Sus scrofa: one gene and its partner. The protein of the gene in region 2 purifies or fractionates together with the protein of the main gene of each other region. This does not show direct contact. Links are inferred from orthologs where the notes say so. Each region holds a gene or a part of one and is shown on either strand. Other genes may lie near its edges.

Region 1 (7,307 bases), on a different chromosome or scaffold from region 2:
TGGACCTTACCCAAGTCTAGGCTCCTTTTCCTGTGTTCTATTTACAAAATGGAGAGAATGAAAGAGCTCAGGGGTCAAACAAAACACCTTTCAGTGTGAATGAGTTAGAAAGACAACCACCGAGGTCTGTGATAAACGGCAATTGTGTGATCTCAGTTTCTCTGTAAATTAATAAATAATGCTTGCCTTCTCTGCTTGAATTCCCCAGGAGAGAAACATCATCTTCAAACATAATTCGGTTGTGGAGTTTCCTTGTGGTGCAGTGACTTCAGGATCTGGCAGTCACTGCAGTGGCTCTGGCCACTGCTGTGGTGCAGGTTCCATCCCTGGCCACGGAACTTCTTCATGCCACATTACGATGCAAACTTCTGGGAGTTCCTGTTGTGGTTCGGTGGGTTAAGAATCCGACATAGTGTCTGTGAGGATGTGGGTTTGATCCTTAGCCTTGCTCAGTGCTTTAAGAATCCGGCATTGCCAGAGTTCCCGTCATGGCGCAGTGGTTAACGAATCCGACTAGGAACCATGAGGTTGCGGGTTCGGTCCCTGCCCTTGTTCAGTGGGTTAACGATCCGGCGTTGCCATGAGCTGTGGTGTAGGTTGCAGATGCGGCTCGGATCCCGCGTTGCTGTGGCTGTGGTGTAGGCCAGTGGCTACAGCTCCGATTCGACCCCTAGCCTGGGAACTTCCCATGCTGCAAACATACACAACACACATGATTCCATCACATAAATAACAAATGACTATAGACAGTTTACCTGGCATTTTCAAGCCTCAGTTTCCTTATAACAATAATGACGCAGAATAGGGGAAATTCAATGAGAAAACGTAGATGGACACCCAGCTCAGTAGGCACTAGCTCTTGGCCTTTTAAATGCTCTGGCTGCAGACATGTTTCAGTCCACCAGGTGGTGGTGACCTGCTGCCCCTGAGCAGGAGAGATGGCCTGCACATGCCCACTGCAGACATGGCTGGACTTATTTTTGGCTACACCCACGGTATGCCTAAGTTCCAGGGTCAGGGATTGAACCCACATGGCAGTCACAATGCTGGACCCTTAACCCAGGGAGCCACCAGGGAACTCTGAGGTTGGATTTTTTCATCTCCTTCCACCCCGAAATTATTTCAGTCTTTTTTCCACCATCGACAGTATAAAACTGCTTGGGTGGGAGGTGGGGTGGAGGGTATATAAACACTGGCGTGAGTGGAGGGAGATGACTAGCCCAGTGGGTACAGAACAGGCCTTTAGATGCCCTAGGAACCTCCTTGTAGAGTAGTCACATTGGCCCAAGCTGGCCAAGAGGAAGCTACACATCATCTGTTCTCATTAGCTTGACCTTTCGGTACCTAGCTATGTGTACTCTGGCAGAGGAGGTATTAAACTCTTATGGCCTGAGATAAAAAGGTAGGTGAGATGGCAGTGGCTTTTAATACCAGTTGCTCCCACTCTCTAGAATGTGCAGAGGGCTACACATTCTCAAGCACGGGTGACTGTCACCAGGGAATACGTGGCAATGTCTGTGGGAGTGGAAGATTACTAGTGACATCTAGTGGGCAAGGGCCAGGGATGCTGCCAAACATTCTACAATATACAGAGCAGCCCCCACAGCAAAGAATTATCCAGCCCACAATGTCAAGAGTGCTGAGGTTGAGAAATCCTGTTCTAGTAACACCTCAATGATTTGGTCTGCACAAGACATTCTGAACTACCAGAAATCACCTAGTGGAGGTGATGGCTTTTCCACGGCTTCCTTGTGAAAAGTTCGAAAAACTATTAACCACTCTAATGATGCTTCATTCAAGTATTAGCTGGGTACCTAGGAAGAATCACACTCTTTCTTTCACTTGGGTATCTATATATGTATTTATTAGGATGCTCACAGGAATGACACATTAGCACGGTTCTTCTGATGTGATAGAAAATACATACATCTGACCCACATTGTGGCGGGAAATCGGCATAAGGGCCCTCAGACCTGGTACCTAGTGTCCACTGAAGAAATCTCTTCACCAAAGAAAGGATGTTTTCTCGGATTTTATCATCTCTGCTGTAGCTTCCATTCAGTTCTCCCTGACTGGCCCAGAATCCTTCATTCCAGAATCTCTTGCCATGCCTTCAAGACCAAGGTCAATTATCCCAGGTCCCACCCACCCAGGCTGCCTCTGGAATTCTGCAGCGCATCTCTTTGGTATGCTGCTGCCCTGCCACCCTCAGGGGCACAGGTGGGAGGTGGGGTGAAATATAACATCACGTTACCAAAAGCAAACAGTAGGGGTACATTAGCAAATAACACTTAGGACATATACCCAACAATCACACAGAATACATGCTTCCTCCCCAAATGATACATAATGCCCTAGAGAGCAGAGGAAACCCCTCAATCGTTCAAACATGTCTGCAGTGATTCTGTATACCAGGCACAAAGGATACAAAGTGGGATCAACTCTGCACAGTAGGAAGTTGGTGCCTGAAAGCTGGAACCAAACCTCTTATCTGGGCTCTTCCCTGCCTTTGAATGGTGTCACCACCCTGCTTCCAGCTGTTCTGGGCATTAGCTCACCATCCAAAAGGGAGGATGAGATGACAGAGAGGGGAGGGGAGATAAGGAAAAGGGGTGGGGAAGGGATGACAACCTATAAAACAAGACAAAAACAAATCAAAAACTAGATTTAGCACTACAATATTTTATAACAACAGAAGGCAGCTGGAAATACTACATGCTAACAGACAATATGATACACAAGCCCTGGGGGAGGAGCCAGGAGGGAGTGTGGCAGAGGCCACCTGTTTAGACTAAGAGCCGTTCGATGGACTGCTGGATGGACTGGATCTGCTGCTTCAGCTGTGAGCCTTCTTTGATGGTGACAGAACAGGCGATGACAGGCCTGGAGACCCCACAGGCTCGCCCCAGGGCCTGCTTGGAGCGCACGAACACATAGGGCACGTTCTTGTCCTCACACAGCAGTGGGAGGTGCAGGATAATCTCCAGGGGCTCCGCGTCTGCAGCCATCACAATGAACTCAGAGATGCCTCTGTTGAGGGTTTTGGTGGCTGTGGAGAGAAGGACATTAGGCTCACAGGTGATGTGGGGTTGGGGCAGGGAATTTCCGAGGAAAAGAAATAAGAAAACGGGGCAAAATTTCCAGGACTAAGCACTTCTCTGTGTCCTGTGTGGCCTTGGGAAGTGACAGGGATTCAAGCACCAATTTAGTCATCCCCAACGCCTTTCTCAAACCCAACACCAAACCCATCAATTCTGTCAAAACACATCCTGAATCAGACCCCTTTCCCATCCTCTGCTACCACACGTATCCAAGTCACCACCGTCTCTTGCCTGGTTGACGGGAACAGCGTTCACACAAGCCCCGCCAGCATGAAGCAGTGTGATAGAGCACATCTGAAACTCTTAAAGATCAGGGGCTTTACCAGCCCCATCTGCCAAGATCAATAAATCTGGAAAGCTTATACCACATGCAACTCACCAAGCAAATTCAACACCCTACAGCACTGTTCACCTGCTTACGCCTGATTGCTTATCTCTGTGACCCAGTGCCAGCCCAAGGATTACCACTTGCTGCTCTTAAGTTCTCGCACTGGTCCCCATGAAGACCATCCAGCCTTCTTTCCATGTTGGAAATCTAGTCCAGAGACCCCCGACAGGAACAGTGGGTGCGCTTAACACGCTTCCTGGAGCACCCTCTGCTTGCCTTACCCTCATTGGCTCCTTTTCGAAGCTGCTTGTAGTTACATGACTGCTGAACAAGGTCCAATAGTTTCTTGGTGAGGTGGGCATCTGCAAGAGGGTAGGCCTTCGGATTTACATCAGCCTCAGTCTATGGGGAGGGGAATCAAAGCATGAGTCAAACTGAACCAGAAGTTGTTCTAGACAAGTCACAAATACTTTAATCAACAATTGAGATGGCACGACACTGTAAATCAACTATACTTTAATAGTAATTTTTGACAAATTGAGATAATGGTCATCTTCCCTGTTCCCTCATTCCCAAACACATTTAATAACTGACACATTCTCAACTGAGAAAAACTAAAATATTATGCTAATTTTTTTAGCATTTACATAGTCTAATAATATATTCTGAAGCTTATGTACCTTTGCCTCTTTAGCCTAATGCGAGGTAATATTATAGCAAATGGATTATAACATGCTTCCATGGCTCAGAACCCCTTTCAGTCACGCGGGGCCAATCTTGAAATTTGGGTTTGCATGTTTCACCCCGAATTTACTAAACCTAAATTAATGTATCATTTATAGAAACCTAGCACAAAATTCTACTTCCTTCCATATTTGAATCTTCTGTATTCATTAAGAATCCTGATTTCTGGAGTTCCCGTTGTAGCTCAGCAGATACGAATCTAACTAGTATCCATGAGGATGCAGGTTTGATCCCTAGCCTTGCTCAGTGGGTTAAGGATCCAGCCTTGCTGTGGCTGTGGTGTAGGTTACAGACATGGCTCAGATCTGGTGGTGTGGCTCTGGTATAGGCTGGCAGCTTTAGCTTGGATTTGACTCCTAACCTGGGACTCTCCATATGCCATGGGTGCAGCCCTAAAAGAGAAAGAGAGAAAAAAAAAAAAAGAATCCTGGTTTCCAAAACATCAAAAATTTTCTCATTTATTTTACACTATAATACATATAAAATGATTTCAGAAATTGCTATACCAATACTACCTCCACCAACTACCAACCCACCAGGGTGAAAATTTCTCTTTATTTTTAGAATATATCTGACTAAAGCCATCCAGTCAGAGTATTATATTCAAAAGTTATTCAAATAATTTTTTCCTTGTGGTTATCAATGTGATATACAATTAGGGTTCCTTTGTATTCAGATTGCTTTAAAAAATTCTTAAAAATTAAAAAGTCTACGTGGTTCTAAAATCAAGCTAACAGTGCTTAAAAGAATGATTCAATTAAACATCATCATCTTGCAACCCACACTAACTAGTTAATTAAACCAGATAAATAGATTCAGACATTGATATTACTACCAACGTCACAAAAGATACCATGTGACCACGGCCCCTCCTAAAGAACAAAACATCCATGATCAAGCAGTGGGGTGGGGGCAGTAGCTAAGAAAAAAAATCTGATCTAGCCTTTGATTCTAACACTAGATATTTGATATTAGGGAATTATTAAATTTGGGGCTATTGCATGGGAACAAAAATCCTTATTTTGTAGACATATACTGTAATACCTATGGATAAAATGCTACCTCATTGGATCTCTTTCAAAATAATATGCGTATGGTAAAAAAAGAGTGGCGCCCAGCCTTTTCCATTCCTTCCCAACTACATTTTCACCTCCGACTTCAACCATTTTTATTAATTTCTCATTTGCTTTCCCTGTAATTCCTTTTACAAATATTTATTTCTATTTCCAACTGCAGCCCCGGTTACTACCCCTGAGCACCGATCAGTTCGCCCGCAGTGATGCGGTCTAACGACGGGTTTGGAGGAGGTAACCGCGGCACGCGGCACGCGGCTCCGCGGTTCCAGGCGGTAACCCGCGGGTGATGGCCGGGTAGGAATATTTACCATTTGGTCTGCCTCGGTGTCGCCTGCCTGGTCTCTGGCTGGTCTCCGGCCCGATGCCCGATACCCGATACCTCAAGAACAGAAAAACTACCACCCGCAGAGCAGCGGGAAGTGACGTCAGAGTGACGTCAGCGGAAGTGACGCCAGGAACCTGCGGCACCAAGGCACCCAGTCCCTAACACCAACAGAGTGACTGTCACGGTCTCAGCCTGGTGAGGACTGGAGGAGTTTCATGAAGAAGAGGGGGGAGACCTCTTATTATCTGTTCTTCATATTTTCTAGAATCCGTTTTTCAAGGTCCACAAAAAACACCTGCTGGGAAGTCTGATTTGTAGATTGAAATAATCCCAATTTAGGTAAAAACCTCTTTAGGATACAGAATCCGTCAATGCATTTAAACATATTTACTTAACCCTTTAGTGCTCTTAACTAAAGTGTTATTTCTAGAAAAATTTTAATATCTTTTAGGCTTACTTCTAGATATTTTGGATTAAGAAAATTTATTTTATTTTATTCCCTGGTGTACTAAGAATTTCTTTTATATATGAATTGGTGTTGAACTCGACCAGATTTTTTGTAGAGTTGGATGAACAAGACTTTTAAATTTTTTCTGATGTTACACCATTTCTGCACTCTAGAGATAAAGCCAACTTTAAGATTTTTCTGTTTTTATTCTATAATGGACATGTTTTCTTTTTGAGATAAAATACCCTAAAATTTAATAAATGATGGTTGCACAATTCTGTAAATATACAAAAACCCCGCTGTTAAACACTTTACTTTTTCCTATTACCACCTTTTTTTTTTTTTTTTTGGCAATTTCTTGGGCCGCTTCCGCGGCATATGGAGGTTCCCAGGCTAGGGGTCTAATTGGAGCTGTAGCCACCCGCCTACGGCAGAGCCACAGCAACGCGGGATCCGAGCGGCGTCTGCAAACTACACCACTGCTCACGGCAACACCGGATCATTAACCCACTGAGCAAGGCCAGAGATTGAACCCGCAACCTCATGGTTCCTAGTCAGATTCGTTAACCACTGCGCCACGACGACGGGAACTCATCTTTTTTTTTTTAAACTGACACAAATAAACACACACAAAAACTGACATAGGATTGACTTACAACATTAAGTTAGTTTCCAAAGCACACTATTATTTGATACATTATCAATTTAAATAGCAGAACTTTATGGTGTGCAAAATTATCTCAATACATTTTTTAAAGTAGGTGTAAAATAAATAAAAACAAAAGTAGGTGTGAAGTTTTTTATGTCAAAAAAATTTGTTTCTTACTAAGTTATAATTAACACACAATATTAGTTTCTTTACTATTATCCAGCTTTCCTATTTCTACTTGAACTGCTTTTGAGTATTTTTTCAGGTATTTGTTCATTTCATATAAGTTTCCATATTTATAGGTATCATGTTATTCATATAGCTTTTCTTTGTAATATCTGCAGATTATGTCTCAGGTTTATCACTCCTTATTTATTTCTTTTGATTAATCTCAGTGGAAAAGGCTTTTCAAAAGATTCTTCTGATTTTGTCCACCCAATAACAGGATCTATTTTCCAGTTCAGTAATTTCTGCTTTTATTTGTTCTCCCTTTTCTCTCCTTTCTTTCATGTTATTCTGTCCTTTTGTTCTTTCCCTAGCTTTTTAGTGTCTACCTCCCCCCCCCTCCCCGCCCCAGCGTTTAGCTTCCAATACTTTAGTTGTACTCTACATGATCTGGTATCTGGTGTTTTCATT
Region 2 (8,051 bases):
GGGGAACTTCCATATGCTGTGGGTGCGGCTGAAAAAGAAAAAAAAAAAAAAGATCTCACTTGATGAAAACTAGTCAATAATAAATGTGCTAAAGTTTTGGTAAAGGTCCATTATAGCCATACTCATGCCTTTCTGTGGTGTCAAGGACGAAAACCTACAGCTTTTAATAGTTCGTTGTAATTTAACTGTTTAAAACACAACAGGTTTCAAAACTCTGACTGTGCCAAGAGTTGTTTCGCTCTAGTCTCCTGCTCCCTCTGCCGTCCACGGCCCGCATAGCCGCCGTGACTGGGCTTTGCAAAACAAAAACCACATCTTGGCAGCCCCCTGCCCAAATTCCTTCAAAGGTTTTCCATCACCTTCCAAGGGAAATCAAAATTCTTTTCTCCAGTTTTCAAAGCCCTAAATCAGTGGGTCCCACCCTTGCTCGATCCTGTTATCCAGAGATTCTGATGTAATTGTCTGGGGTGGGGGCTTGGGCAGGGGGCCTTTTCAAGTTCCCCAGGTGACTACTGTGTGCAGCCCAAAAGGAGAACCACCTCCACCACGCTCGCTTTGGCTGACTTTTCTGACCTCGCTCTAAGTTGGGTTCCTTGCTCTTCCTCCCCAAGAAGGAACTCACTCTCCAGTTTCTAAATGTGTCTCCTGTTCCCTGGGTCCTGAGGACAGGTGCTTGACTTGCCCCCTCCACTGCAGTCAGGCCTCTGAGCAAACGCTGCTTCCTCAGAAGGGCCTTCTCGGGCTACCTGACCTGTACTCTGCTGTTTCTTAGCAAGGATCACACGTGACATTTGAGAAATTACTACTGCCTGCCTCCCCCACTAGAATCAAGCTGCGAATGGACAGGGATGTCTGTTTGGATCATCACTATACCCACAGCACCCTGCACAGCATTTGGCACAAAGTATGGGCTCAATAAATATTTTTATTTATTTAAAAAAAATTTTATGGCTGTACCCAGGGCCTAGGGAAGTTCCAGGGACCGAATTGGAACTGCAGCTGCAGCATCGCCAGACCCTTTAACTTACTGTGCTGGGCTGAGGATCCAACTCGCACCTCTGCAGCAATCTGAGCTGCTGCAGTCTTCACCCACAGCTCCAAATAATTCTTTCTCTTTTTCTTTCTTTTTGGCCAGGCTGGCAGCGTGGGGAAGAAGTGCCTGGGCCAGGGATCAAACTAAAGCCACAGCAGAGATAATGCTAGACCCTTAACCCCGCTGGGGATCAATATTAAAGGAGCTGTCTGCTGATGACTTCAGCCCCTGGGTTTCTGTCTCCTGAAGAAAGCACCCTCTCTGTCCATTCAGGAGGCAGGTGATCAGATGGTGACCAGAGCCCGGGTCCCTCCCCTCAAGCAGCTCCTGTGCTGAATACAGGGAGATGGCCACGCCATTCATAACCCTAGAGAGGAGGGAAGGTTCAGGCAAGTCTTGAAAAAGTCACTGGCAAGATGGAGATGGAACTTACACAGTGCCCACCTCATAGAGTCATAAAGATTAAATGACAGTACCCACAAAGCACTTCACTTAATACACTGCCTGGCACACCATCTGAATACATTATTCAAACTCAGGGGAATAAATCCCTCCTCCTCCCTACTTAGGGGAGAAGCCACTGGGTGTAAAGACTGGTAACCCAGGCCCCAGGCCCGGCATGGGCCACAGTGGATCCAGTCAATACTCAAAATACAGCCTTTTTTTTTTTTTTTAAATTACAAGGCCACATGTATTAAAACAGTTCAAACAGATCTAACAATAACAATAACAAAATTCCACTCATAGCGATTATAAAGGGGATTTATGCCATAACCCCAGATGTCTCCTTTTTAAATCACTTGCATTCAGCAAGCACTGTGAGGAAATATGTCTTAATCCATTTCAGGTCCTGGGTTCTTAGAAAGATGCACTGAACAACACACACATTCACACACCTTTTTCTAGAAGTTTTGGGTGGATGGTCCACAGACCCCCAGTTTAAACTGCTCTCCACCTCGGGCCTTCTCCCTCTCAAAGATGGCACCTCCACCCCTCCAGTTACACACGCCCAAACCCTCAGTTGTCCTTGACCCTTCTCTCACACCTGCATACAAGCTGTTGGCTCTATCTTCAAAATATGTTCCCAAATGGTGACAATTTGTCAGCCAGGTCCACTGCTACCACCCTGGCCTAAGCCATATCATCTCCTAGTAGATGACAGCAACCAACTTCCCACTGATGAGTCTGCTTTCATTCTTTTTTTTTTTTTTTTTTTTTTGTTGTTGTTGTTGTTGTTGCTATTTCTTGGGCCGCTCCCGCGGCATATGGAGGTTCCCAGGCTAGGGGTCCAATTGGAGCCGTAGCCACCGGCCTACGCCAGAGCCACAGCAACGTGGGATCCGAGCCGCGTCTGCAACCTACACCATAGCTCACGGCAACGCCGGATCGTTAACCCACTGAGCAAGGGCAGGGACCGAACCCGCAACCTCATGGTTCCTAGTCGGATTCGTTAACCACTGCGCCACGATGGGAACTCCTCCTGCTTTCATTCTTGTTCCCCTAAAGTCTTTTTTCTTTTTTGGTTTTTAGGGCTGCACCCGTGGCATATGGAAGTTTCCAGGCTAAGAGTCCAATCCGAGCCACAGCTGCTGGCCTACACCACAGCTCACGGCAATGCTGGATCCTTAACCCACTGAGCGAGGCCAGGGATCGAACCCACATCCTTGTGGATACTAATCAGATTCGTTTTCCGCTGCACCACGACAAGAACTCCCCCTCCTAAAATCTTTTATACACAGAAGCAGGAAGGATCCTTTTAAATGTCTCAGTCAAGTCTGACTGACATCATGTCTCGGTTCAGAATCTCCCAAAGGCTTCTTCTCTCAACCAGATTAAACTCCTTGCTAAAGAGCTGACTCCTGACAATTTCTACAACTTTACAGCCTAATACAGCGAAGGAGGGGTTGGAAGGAAGGTGTATCTTGCGCCACTCCTGGGGTAATCAGACCACAGGATGCTTGCAGGCATACCAGGGTCTCATGGAGACACCCTCCTGGCACTTCTCATTCCACAAGTAGATCCCCAAACACTGAAGAAGAGAAAGGGAACTTGGGAGGCAGCATGGACCCACAAAACAGCCTCCCCCTCCCCCCGACACCTCCAGATGACCCCATCCCTCCACAGGCTGGGGTCAGGGGGGACTGGAAAGGAAGAAAAAAAAAAAACAAAAACTTTTGGTCAGGATAGAAGATTTCCCCAACTCCAAGGGAACCAAGTTACAGGGAGGGGCTTGGCCTGACTTAGGAAGAAGGACCATAATCTCATTTCCCTTAAGAAGATAACAATTGGAGCCAATACTATTATATGTCAAGGGCTGTGCTATATGAGATACAGTTGACATAATATAACGTTGTGTAAGTTCAAGGCATACAACCTGTTGATTTGATACTGGTATATTGTGAAATGACTGTCAGCAGGTGCTGATTTTTTTCTTTTTTCCGTCTTTTTGCCTTTTCTAGGGCAGCTTCCCGCAGCATATGGAGGTTCCCAGGCTAGGGGTCTAATCGGAGCTGTAGCCACCGGCCTACACCAGAGCCACAGCAACGCGAGATCCGAGCTGCGTCTGCAACCTACACCACAGCTCACGGCAACACCGGATCCTTAACCCACTGAGCAAGGGCAGGGATCGAACCCGCAACCTCATGGTTCCTAGTCGGATTCGTTAACCACTGCGCCACGATGGGAACTCCCGGTATTTCTTCTTAACATGATTTCACTAAATTAGAGCTGGGTGCCATTTTTCATTGATGAGATAACAGAGGCTCAGAGAGAGAAAGTCACTTACTTGCTCCAGATCACACAGTAAATTAAGCATAGTGAGGACTGAAACTTTGAACGGAGGCTCTTCTGCTGTCAAAGCCTGTACTCTCATCATTAGACCAAGAGGGAGATGCACTGGGTTCATCAAAATCTCGAGTAAGATCGGAATGGATAAAAACACTCATGCTCCGTGATTACGCGCCCCCCCCCCCACTTTAATCCTATACTGGGCTGTCAAGTTTCATCTCATCTCTCATCAGCACTAGGCCCAGGATCTCCATCCTCAGGGACCCGCCCCTCTCTGGTAAGTGGAGAGCGGGAAAATGGGCCAGAGAGACTACCAAGCCGGGAGAATCCATCCATGCCGGCCCTCTCCGAGAAGCTGGGTGTTGGGGCCAAGGGTACCGCAGTAGCGGTGGCGACACAGGAGCATACCTGGTCCTCTCAGACCCAGCTTTCGGACCCCCGAATCAGCGACTCTCCGCCTCCGAACCAGGACAAATTCCCAAATCCCACACCCAGAGATCCGAGACCCTAGATGCCTGGATCTGGATTCTGGGTTAGTATTCGCGATTGCTGCCGCCGGGCCAACATCCAAGACCTCTAACGACAGCTTCAATGAAACGAATCCCAGGTCAAGACACAACCCTCCTCAAGCCCACGCCAAAGACCCTCGACCCACGACTGTGACCTCGGGAAAGCCAGTCACAAAGCTCCAGACCAGGAACCCGAACCCCGGGCTCAAGTTCAATCACCATGCAAAAGCGAGCCCCCTTCACCCACACCGGAGAGCGGAACCAAGACCCCCCTCCCCACAAGAGACCGGATCCGGGGCTCAGAACTCCTGCCTCCAGGCCAAGACCACCATACCCCTTCGTTCCGGACTGGCACCCCGATCCCCACCAGGCCCCAGTCCCAGACCCCCGATCCCAACCCCGGCCCGTACCTGGTTTCATAGCGAGCACAGAGGTTCGCTACTCAGTAATCTGAGGCTCTTTCGACTCCACGCGTCCCGGGTTTACGCACGTGGAAAGGAGCGCAGGCGCGCGGCGACGTGCGGCGCGTGACGCAAGCACGCAGACCCCATCCTTCGGAGCCACAGCCCCGCCCATGGCTTGTGTGCGCGCTGTGGGCGGGGATTCCCGAGCCCCTCCCGGTACCGCCTCTTCGACCGCCGCTGGCACCGCCTTTCCTGTGCAGCGCTTGCTGCCTGAACACTCTTCCCGCTTCCTCTCCACCTGTGCAAGCACCCCAGTAATCAGGTCTCCAAACCTTCGCACGGGCTACCCTAGCTCCTCTTCTCTATTCCTGATTAACTCCCTAAGTTTCCCTCTACACCTCAAAGCCTTCCCTAATCCATTTTCACCCCCAAGAACAAGGGCCAACTCTGGACTCGCATTCATACATTTGAAAAGCACTAATTATGCGCCTGAATGTACGAAGCACTGTTCTAGGCTTTGGAAATATGGCAGAGAACAAGACAGACACATCCCCACCCTCCTGGAGCTCATCTTGCAGTGGGGGAAACAAACAGCAAACGAGTTAGTAAAAATCATTGTTGAATGATAGTTAGTAAAAATCATTGTTGAATGATAGAAGGCTGTAAGTGCTTTGGAGAAAATAGCAGGGAGGGAATAGGGACTGGTGTTGGGAGTGGGGGACAGTGTGTGAAATTTCTTACCCGGTGGTCAGGGAGCCCATCTGGTGATTTTTGAGCAAAGAGCGAAAGAAGATGAGGAGGGAGGCATGTTCTATCTGCGGGAAGAGAACGCAGGCAGCAAGGGTTGCAGGTGCCAAGGCCCTGAAGCAGGAAAGGTAAGGAGGGTTGCAGAAACAGTGAGGGATGTGGTCGGGGCAGAGTAATCTTGGGGAGAGGGGGAGGAGATGAGGGTAGGGAGGTCGACAAAGCAAATTGTATGGAGCTTTAGGGTGATAATTTTGGCTTTTACTCTGAGAGAGAAAGAGGTTCCTGAACAAAGAAGGGATATAATCTCACTTGGGTCGCCTGGCTGTATGTGGGAAACTGAGTGAAGGAATAGGTTTGGGAGACCAATGAGGGCCCTGCTGCAATGGATCATGATGCAGGCAGAGGAAGGGGTGAGGAGTGAGCAGATTCTGCCTAAGTATTGAGAAATTTGTGCTTTGTAATTTTATAACTTGAATATGCATCCTATATATTTGTTCCTCAGAACAAAACAAGTGGGAGTTCCCGTTGTGGCGCAGTGGTTAACGAATCCGACTAGGAACCATGAGGTTGCGGGTTCGATCCCTGCCCTTGCTCAGTGGGTTAAGGATCCAGCATTGCTGTGAGCTGTGGTGTAGGTTGCAGACGTGGTTCGCATCCCAAGTTGCTGTGGCTCTGGCGTAGGCCGGTGGCCACAGCTCTGATTCGACCCCTAGCCTGGGAACCTCCATATGCCGCGGGAAGCTGCCCTAGAAAAGGCAAGAAGACAAGACAAGACAAAAACAAAAACAAAAAAGTGGCATTGGAGTTCTCTTGTGGCTCAGCAGGTTAAGGATCCCAAGTTGTCAGTGCAGCGGCTCAGGTCACTGCTGTGGCTTGGGTAAAAAGCAAATACAATACAATGTAATACAATACAATACAATACAGAAAAAGAAAAAATAAAAAAAGAGTGGTACTATGAGAAGTTATTAACAACCTCCAGGAGAATCCATTGGTCTGTCCTGTTCCTTGTTGTGTCACTTTATACCTAGAACAACCTGGCACAGTGGGTGCTCGGCTAATTTATGTTGAATGAACCTATGCTGTCTTTTTTTTTTTTTTTTTCTTTTCAGGGCCACACCTGCAGCATATGGAAGTTCCCAGGCTAGGGGTAGAATCAGAGATGCAGCCACCGGCCTTCACCACAGCCACAGCAACACCAGATCCGAACCGCATCTACAACCCACACCACAGCTCATGGCAATTTTGGATCCTTAACCCACTGAGCAAGGCCAGGGATCGAACTTGCATCCTCCTGGATACTAGTGGGGATCATTACCTCTGAGCTATGATGGGAACTCCAGAACCTATGATATCTTGAGTTCTCTGTGCGGGGATTCCAGCCGCACAGTAACTTTCCTGAAATTTTTTAAAAATGTTAAGATGGAACATCTGCTGAGTCTATGCTGGATTTCCAGGAGCTTTGTAATAATTTGAAAGGCTTCAATTCAGGATAAACCTACTACTTAGGGATTTTATTGTTGCCTTCCCATTAAAAATAATTTTTTTTCTAAAGAAGGAAAATACTCAACAGACTGTATTCTGGAATCCTGGCACCATCTCCTGGCTCTGATACATTTCACCTGCTAACTGGCACTGCAGACCTGAAGTTGGCACTACCAGTGAATAATTGGTGGTGGGGGGGATCCCTGCTGGTTTTGTGCTGGGGACACAATGGTGACTGAAAGAGACCAGTTTTCCTGGAGCTGCCAGGCCAGTGAGGGAGACAGACAGACTGGTCCCTGGACAGGGGCAGCTGTAGAGAGAACAGGGCCAGGATGGGGGAGAAATAGGCAGAATGGTCAGGGATGGGATAGGGGAGGCACTGAGGGCTTTTCCAGATGTTCCCTATATCTTCAGATCCCTCTGCCTTTTTTTTTTTTTTTTTTTTTTTTTTTTTTTTTTTTTTTAGGGCTGCACTCGCGGCATATGGAGGTTCCCAGGCTAGGGGTTGAATCGGAGCTACAGCTGCCAGCCTATGCCAGAGCCACAGCAAAGGGGGATCCAAGCCGTGTCTGCCACCTATACCACACCTCACAGCAACACCAGATGCTTAACCCACTGAGCGAGGCCAGGGATCGAACCTGCAACCTCATGGATACTAGTTGGGTTCATAACCCACTGAACCACAACAGGACCTCCCTCTGAACCTTCCTTTTACCTGGCTGCTCTGACCACAGCCTAGCTCTCCCCTGAAGATGTGTCTTTCCATGCAGCCCTTCTAAGCAGAGGCTTCTCCTCAGCCTTCGTGCCCACTGGGCCTGTTGAAAGGATAAGACCCTCTGTGTTTCTCGTGGCCACTTCTAAACCATTCTCTGCCTCCTCCCTCAGCCCCTAACTTGGAAGTTTATCCACAGCCCCTGCTCCCATTCTTCTTACCCGCACTATCAACTCCCAGGTGACTGCAGCTCACTGCATCTTTTTAGCTCCAGGTTCACTGCCACCTGAGCCGCTCTCCTCATGATTCTTGGCGATTTCCAAAACCAGAGAGATGATCCTTTGACCAGTCTGCCCTCTCGATGCCTCGACCTTTTC

Evidence for each region.
Region 1: the proteins of FBL (region 2) and SNU13 purify together in Homo sapiens (affinity purification with mass spectrometry; 5 studies listed by BioGRID and IntAct, with this or other methods). This does not show direct contact. The link is inferred for Sus scrofa from reciprocal best matches to the Homo sapiens genes FBL and SNU13.

What each region holds. Positions count from the first base shown.
Region 1 is NC_010447.5:6,894,556-6,901,862, reverse strand, and holds the end of SNU13 (NHP2-like protein 1), read right to left. Parts: intron 5,696-7,307; exon of another isoform or gene 5,561-5,695; coding exon of another isoform or gene 5,558-5,560; intron 3,832-5,557; coding exon 3,711-3,831; intron 3,050-3,710; coding exon 2,787-3,049; 3' UTR 1,837-2,786; downstream 1-1,836.
Region 2 is NC_010448.4:48,321,566-48,329,616, forward strand, and holds the start of FBL (rRNA 2'-O-methyltransferase fibrillarin), read right to left. Parts: upstream 4,869-8,051; 5' UTR 4,750-4,868; coding exon 4,740-4,749; intron 1-4,739.